Saccharomyces cerevisiae S288C: one gene and its partner. The protein of the gene in region 1 interacts with the protein of each later gene in a pairwise test. Each region holds a gene or a part of one and is shown on either strand. Other genes may lie near its edges.

Region 1 (3,782 bases):
GGAACATGCAAGGGATAAGTTTAGAGGACATCGCTGATGATCCAACAGATAATATGTATTCAGGAAAGATTTTCCCATTGCCCGGCGAAAATACAAAGAGCTCCAGTAAAAGACTTAGCGCATCGAGAAGGTCCGTATCTACAAGGTCTCTAAGACATAGAGTACCACAAAGCCGATCATTTGGCAATTTACGATAGTTAAAAAAACTAAATAACTCTAAGTAAATTAAGAACAATAATAATCATTATTTCGATTTTTAGTCCTGTAAACACGTTTGCCACCGATGAGTAACACTGAAAGATCAGAGAAAGAAAAAAAAATTCTACCTAATGAAATAAATAAACTAAAAAGATTAAATTAACTAATTCTCATGTTAGTAGGTCACGAATTCTTTAATTTTGTTTTGTGACTGAAATAAATATGAAAACGATAATGAATAAATAAATAAGGAGAGGCAGCAGAAATACGCCAAATATTCAAAGGGCTTTGTTGTTGACCGACTACCAAGTCATCCTTTGCAATGCTTTAACACTAGTATGTAAGTTCCTAGGCTTACTCAAATTAGTGATATTATCGTTGTTGCTTGGGGCTAGGGAAGTAGGAAGTGGAGTCAACGCCGTATCCTTACTTCTTCCATCGTTAGCATTTTGATATATTTCAACGTCCTTATCATCACCGTGTTTGAAACAGCAACGCTTACCGTACGGACAGTAGCCTAACTTCGACCAATTTATGCAAGGTTTAGTTCTATAATTGTTTGATTTTTTCTTGAATTTCAGTTCATTAAGACCATGAGCAAATTGGCATTTATTTCCATACTTACAATAGCCTTTAATAGTAAAAGATTCACAGAGCTCAGTTTTGTATAAGGTCTTATTGACTAATTGAGGAAGCTGCAAAGGTGCCCTTCTACAAGGTTCCAGTTTTGTTGTTTTCTGAATTGGAAGTGTGTATGGAAGTCCAGTAGACTGAGAATCCACCTGAGATAGTTTTTGTAAATTCTCCGCTGTCAGGGGTAATGAAAATGCACTTGTCGTGTAAGTAGGGTTAATCTCAACTTCGAGTGACCTTTTCTTACGTTTTTTCTCAGTTGTAGCAAGTGTTGAGATGTTATTATTGCCTGCGAAAGGGTTATTAATAGGTAATGTATTTGTAGGTCTGGAATCTGATATGATCAAGTCTTTAAAATCTCCCAACGGATGATAACAGTTTGGTTTGGATGGTAACCAAGGAGAAGGCCTTGGTGAGTATTCACTTAAAATGTCCGTTTCATTTATATTATGCCCCTCGGAGCTGCTGCTGTCATCATTATCGGTATTTTCATTGAGCAGTGTCTTTATATAATATTCTTCGATTTCTTTAATCTTTGACTCGTACTCCTTGTTGAGATCAGAAAAGATCGAGGACGTAGTCGTTGAGGTCGAATTGGCATTCGGTATGTTTAAATAGTAGCTGTTTGGAGCAACATTCGGCATCATGGCTAGTGTTAATCCTTAATAGTTCTTATTGGTTGAGTTGCCGAAGAGACTGTGATATAGGGTTCTACGGCTTTACAATCAACTTATGGGTGAAGAGGCTAAATAAGATGTGACTTGTTAAGAGAGCAAGCGCAACAAGAGTGCAAAACCGTCACACTATGTCCAATGATCTACACTATCAACCTTTGAGTTAATGTTCTCTGATCCAGTATATTAGTAACTGCTCACACTGATCAAGAGCGTGAGAGAATACGAGCGAAAAAGAAAGAAGAAAAATTTGGGTGCCATTGGCACAGACCCTAAAAGAGATGTGAGAGAAGTGGGCCATATATGTATATTTTTCCCGAATGTCCTAATAAGTAATGATTGGAAATCCTAGGTCTATAAACTCGGGTAACAGAAGGTGGAAAATGAAAATTTTCTATTTTCCAATTGTAAAATCAGCAGGCATCGTTAGATTGGCTTTAAAGAGCTGAGTTTCCCATGCTGTCGGTTGGTATAATTTAAGGAAAAGCCCTCCCTCCATATCCAGAAGGCACTTGTTAATACTATGGATTATAAGGAAGAACAGAAGCAGGAACTAGAAGTTTTAGAGTCCATTTATCCTGATGAACTGAGGATCATAAACGATGAATACCCAAAGATTAAATTTGAAGTAGCCATTAAATTAGAGCTGGATACAGGTGATTCTACTTCTGTTTTAACCAAAGAGCACACTATAATCGCCGAATTCAAGTTACCAGAAAACTACCCTGACGAACCATGCCTGATTTCATTGGAAGCTCAAGAAGTAGCCCTCAATGACAACGAAGAAGATAACGAGGAAGATGAAGACGAGGTTGAATATGACGACCATGGTAATAAAGTACTGAAAAAGTTTGAAAACCTGCCAGATTTAATAAGCTTTAAGGGGTACTTGCCTGAATTAACCGTACAATTAGAATCGCAAATCGAAACCGATATGTTATTGGGTATGCAAATGTGTTTTGCATTGATTTCATCCATAAAAGAAAGATGTGAGCAATGGTATAGTGAACAATTGAATAAGCTCGAGAAGCAGTACGAGCTGGAAGCACAAGAACGTGAAAAGAAGGAACAGGCCAAGTTCCATGGTACTAAAGTCACAAGAGAATCGTACTTGGAATGGAGGTCTAAATTTCGCCAAGAACTGAAACTGGATGAAAGAGACCAGGTGAGAAGGATGAAGGCTCATCATGGGAAGCTAACCGGTAAGCAAATGTTTGAACAAGGCGTGGTGGGCACAGGCGACGAGTATATGGAAGAGGATGACGCGAGTGTAGATGACGTAGCCAAGGGACTTGCCAAGACCGAAATAGCAAATCAATAAATACTTGTGTACTTAAGTATTTAAGTATTTTCTTCTGCATGGATAATGACATATACAAATGTATCTATATAATATTTTTTTGATATTCAATAAAAAGAAAACTGACATTTGAAGAAGGAAATAGACAAGTTTTTAGTAAGATATTATTAGTGTATATATGGATACATATATCTGAGAATGAAAATTTGTTGACTGTATTGAATGTATTGGGAGATGAAGGGGTATTTGGTGATTAGACCAACGACTTGGAGTAAGAGAATAAGTCGGAAAATGCATCATTTCCCTTCGACTTGTCCTTTGTAGCCTGAGGACGGGCTTTTTGCTGTTTTTTCTCCGCAAAGGGCAATGATGTTTGCGCAGCAGCGGTGGTATCTGTGTCTGACTTTGGGCCATCCCAGTCAAGCAAATCATCTATTTTACTATTGGAAGTTTTAGGTGCTGTTGTGTCGGGACTCGTTTCGCTTTGGAAGTCGCCAAACTCATCATCATCATCATCACTATTGCTGTTGATATTATTGTTTTTGTTGTCATTATTACCATTGTCTATTGTTATATTATTCGTGGTGCTAGTACTATCGTCAAGATCGATTAAGTCAGGGATGCTATCTTGTTGTTGCTTTCTTTTCCTCTGCTGTTCTTTATTTTTGATCTGCTCTCTTAATATCTCCCTTCTTTGTCTTCTTTGTTCTTCCATATGAGAACGCCTGCGAGTATTCGAATTTGCTTCTGTTTCCACAGGAACATTGAAGTTGGTCACATTATTAGCATCCATTTCACTGTCAAAGCCATCTGCATCTGCATCAAATTCATCGTCGTCGATGTTATCGTAACTTGCAGACGTTGAAATCTGGTTGGCATTATAAATGGAGGATTCTCCTTGCTGTCGAATTTTCAAGGCATTCTTCTTATTCTTGGCTCTTTCCTTTTTCAAAAATTGTGAGTCTTCCAAGTATTGC
Region 2 (3,952 bases), on another chromosome or scaffold:
CTCTTTCATTTCGAAGAGAAGTTTGTCCAAACACCAATCTATCATCTGGGCTCTCGTACTTGTATCGCAGTCGAGTAGCTCGCAGGCACCTTCGCGCAATTCCATAGTGAGTGCTGTATCATGCTCTGAGATATTGCCGCCGGAAAAGAGCGCATTGTAGTTTTGTTTAATTTTGGACAAAGTGTCTCCTTTCAGTCTTGAAATGGAGCTCAACAAATAGTTTATCTCGTCCAATGATTTGTAAGAGATGAATGTGTTTTCAGCAAGCGAACACATTATCTTATAAGGGGACACCATTTTTTTGAATGAGCCCTGTGAGAGTAATTCATTGCATTGTATGTAACTGTCTGTCAATATCTTTAAATTTTGGAAAAGAGTCAAAGAGTGGGTGAGGTTTTTCTTGGCAATGTCCAGGTACGAGATACCTTCTGTCAGATTCGATATCGTCAACTCGGTGGAGGCTGAGACATCTTGAGTTTCTTTGAAATCTTGGAAAACTTTCCTCAGAGAAGCCTCTATTTCAGCGGAATTTTTAGGGTGTTCCTTCAATTCATTCTCTTCTTTGAGAATATCCTCTTGCAATTGCTTTTTGTAGCTTCTGGTAATACTGATCAGTTCATCTATGTTGTTCAGGGATTCTTTTGAAAAAAGTATATTGGTAATATCTTCCAGCGGGTCATAATCTACCGTACCTTCCAGCATTGTCCTTCTGAGAAAACAAAAATGGAAGATGTTGTGAAAATGCAGTAAGTGACAATAAGCTAGCGACTTTTCAATGATCGCAGATTAAGTATATATACACTTTAGGTCTCCTTCTCTTCTTTACTAGCTACGAAAAAACAAAGAAAAAAAAAACAAAATAGAGGGAAAAAAGATATACGTATAAAAATATGCTCCAGGGGAGGTTCGAACTCTCGACCTTCAGATTATGAGACTGACGCTCTTCCTACTGAGCTACTGAAGCACTATTTCTTGTTCCAACCGAGGAATAATACTAGACCTGTAGAAAAGTACCGCTTATCTAATATCCAACTTTTTCTTCTGTTCCCTTTAGTGAATTCAAGATGAAGGAACATAACAGAACGGAAAACAAAAAAAAAGGGAAGAAAAAAGATATCACCACCAATTGGCACGCTCGCAACGGTTTCGGGCCAGATTCATGGCCCTGTGGGGTAGAAGTGCCTACAGACAAAAAACCGTTACGTCCCGCCTCACCAAGCATCGACACACAAGCCCTCTCAACCTCCTTAATTTCTTTATCTTTTTTTCCCTTCACCTCTGTGCTCTTTTTTTAGCCACAGCTGTGCATTACGCTTGCTTTGCTTGTTTTGTTCTCTTTCGCCATGCCATATTACTACTTTTCTACTTACTGGCACGAGGCCGCGCAAGCCAGATCCAAGCACGCCAGAAAGTGCGGTGTACTGGTGCAACCTTTTATCGATTTCTCATCATATCGCTATCGCAACGGGCATGGGCGACGAAAAAGCCAATCTAAAGCGTTGTCTTCCTCGTTCCTCGCGCACGCGATTTTGCGTTCTGCATAGGAAGCCGAAGTCGAACAAGAAGCAGGCAAAGTTTAGAGCACTGCCCCTCCGCACTCAAAAAAGAAAAAACTAGGAGGAAAATAAAATTCTCAACCACACAAACACATAAACACATACAAATACAAATACAAGCTTATTTACTTGACATCGCGCGATCTTCCACTATTCAGCGCCGTCCGCCCTCTCTCGTGTTTTTTGTTTACGCGACAACTATGCGAAATCCGGAGCAACGGGCAACCGTTTGGGGAAAGACCACACCCACGCGCGATCGCCATGGCAACGAGGTCGCACACGCCCCACACCCAGACCTCCCTGCGAGCGGGCATGGGTACAATGTCCCCGTTGCCACAGAGACCACTTCGTAGCACAGCGCAGAGCGTAGCGTGTTGTTGCTGCTGACAAAAGAAAATTTTTCTTAGCAAAGCAAAGGAGGGGAAGCACGGGCAGATAGCACCGTACCATACCCTTGGAAACTCGAAATGAACGAAGCAGGAAATGAGAGAATGAGAGTTTTGTAGGTATATATAGCGGTAGTGTTTGCGCGTTACCATCATCTTCTGGATCTATCTATTGTTCTTTTCCTCATCACTTTCCCCTTTTTCGCTCTTCTTCTTGTCTTTTATTTCTTTCTTTTTTTTAATTGTTCCCTCGATTGGCTATCTACCAAAGAATCCAAACTTAATACACGTATTTATTTGTCCAATTACCATGCCTAAAGAGACCCCTTCCAAAGCTGCTGCCGATGCATTGTCCGACTTGGAAATCAAAGATTCCAAGTCCAACCTTAACAAGGAATTGGAGACATTGAGAGAGGAAAACAGAGTAAAGTCAGACATGCTTAAGGAGAAATTGAGCAAGGACGCTGAAAATCACAAGGCTTACTTGAAATCTCATCAAGTTCACCGTCACAAACTTAAGGAAATGGAAAAGGAGGAACCTTTGTTGAATGAAGACAAGGAGAGAACTGTTCTTTTCCCTATCAAGTACCATGAAATCTGGCAAGCCTACAAGCGTGCCGAAGCTTCTTTCTGGACCGCTGAAGAAATTGATTTGTCTAAGGATATCCATGACTGGAACAACAGAATGAACGAAAACGAGAGATTTTTCATTTCCAGAGTTCTTGCCTTTTTCGCCGCTTCTGACGGTATTGTTAATGAAAACTTGGTTGAAAACTTCTCCACCGAAGTCCAAATTCCAGAGGCAAAGAGTTTCTACGGTTTCCAAATCATGATTGAAAATATTCACTCTGAAACTTACTCCTTGTTGATCGATACTTACATCAAGGACCCTAAAGAAAGTGAATTCTTGTTCAATGCCATTCACACCATCCCAGAAATCGGTGAGAAGGCCGAATGGGCTTTAAGATGGATTCAAGACGCTGACGCCTTGTTTGGTGAAAGACTAGTTGCCTTTGCCTCCATTGAAGGTGTCTTTTTCTCCGGTTCCTTTGCCTCCATTTTCTGGTTGAAAAAGAGAGGTATGATGCCCGGTTTAACCTTTTCCAACGAATTGATCTGTAGAGACGAAGGTTTGCACACCGACTTTGCATGCTTGTTGTTCGCCCATTTGAAGAACAAACCAGACCCAGCCATTGTTGAAAAAATTGTCACCGAGGCTGTGGAAATTGAACAAAGATACTTCTTGGACGCCTTACCAGTTGCTTTGCTAGGTATGAACGCTGACTTAATGAACCAATACGTTGAGTTCGTCGCCGACAGACTGTTGGTTGCTTTCGGTAACAAGAAATACTACAAGGTCGAAAACCCCTTCGATTTCATGGAAAACATCTCCTTGGCCGGTAAGACCAACTTCTTCGAAAAGAGAGTTTCTGACTACCAAAAGGCTGGTGTTATGTCCAAGTCGACTAAGCAAGAAGCCGGTGCTTTCACCTTCAACGAAGACTTTTAAGAGTATCTCTCTATATATTTCTTTTTACGCAGTCTCTTCAATCTCTTTATGTGGGCTTTCGCACCTCTTATTTATATATATATATATACACTGAATCATATAAACTTTTTTTTATATTGAATCTAATATATTATCAAACGGAAACTTCGGCTGAATTTCATACGTATATTGATTAAAGTGGAAAGGGCATCGGAAAAGTAAGAAAAGCTTAAAAAAATTGAAAAAAAAAAAAAAAAAAATAAAAAATAAAAAATAAAAAAACCTATACAATACATACATATGTATATGAATATAAACCTGGAACGATGTGTCTTTAAAAATAGTTGAACGAACTACTCGGACATACCCCTACATCACTTAAGGATGTCTACTTTCATAAGAGGTCCCATCTGCGGTACAGACAACTGCCCCTCACGGCTTTGGCGTATCATTGATGGGAGAAGAACCTGCCAATATGGTCACGTTATGGAAGGTGACGTGGAATTTAACGACGATGAAGA

Evidence for each region.
Region 2: the proteins of CTH1 (region 1) and RNR2 interact in a two-hybrid assay, tested with the Saccharomyces cerevisiae proteins (one study listed by BioGRID).

The regions. Positions count from the first base shown.
Region 1 is NC_001136.10:763,678-767,459, forward strand, and holds CTH1 (putative mRNA-binding protein CTH1), read right to left. Parts: upstream 1,479-3,782; coding exon 501-1,478; downstream 1-500. Other genes in the region: NUM1 (Num1p), read left to right, coding at 1-197; GIR2 (Gir2p), read left to right, coding at 2,029-2,826; ENT5 (Ent5p), read right to left, coding at 3,059-3,782. UniProt on the Saccharomyces cerevisiae protein: Binds to specific AU-rich elements (ARE) in the 3'-untranslated region of target mRNAs and promotes their degradation. In response to iron deficiency, promotes the decay of many mRNAs encoding proteins involved in iron-dependent pathways.
Region 2 is NC_001142.9:390,152-394,103, forward strand, and holds RNR2 (ribonucleotide-diphosphate reductase subunit RNR2), read left to right. Parts: upstream 1-2,252; coding exon 2,253-3,452; downstream 3,453-3,952. Other genes in the region: VPS53 (Vps53p), read right to left, coding at 1-702; YJL028W (uncharacterized protein), read left to right, coding at 1,160-1,495; YJL027C (uncharacterized protein), read right to left, coding at 1,682-2,098; RRN7 (Rrn7p), read left to right, coding at 3,816-3,952. UniProt on the Saccharomyces cerevisiae protein: Provides the precursors necessary for DNA synthesis. Catalyzes the biosynthesis of deoxyribonucleotides from the corresponding ribonucleotides. RNR2 provides the diiron-tyrosyl radical center.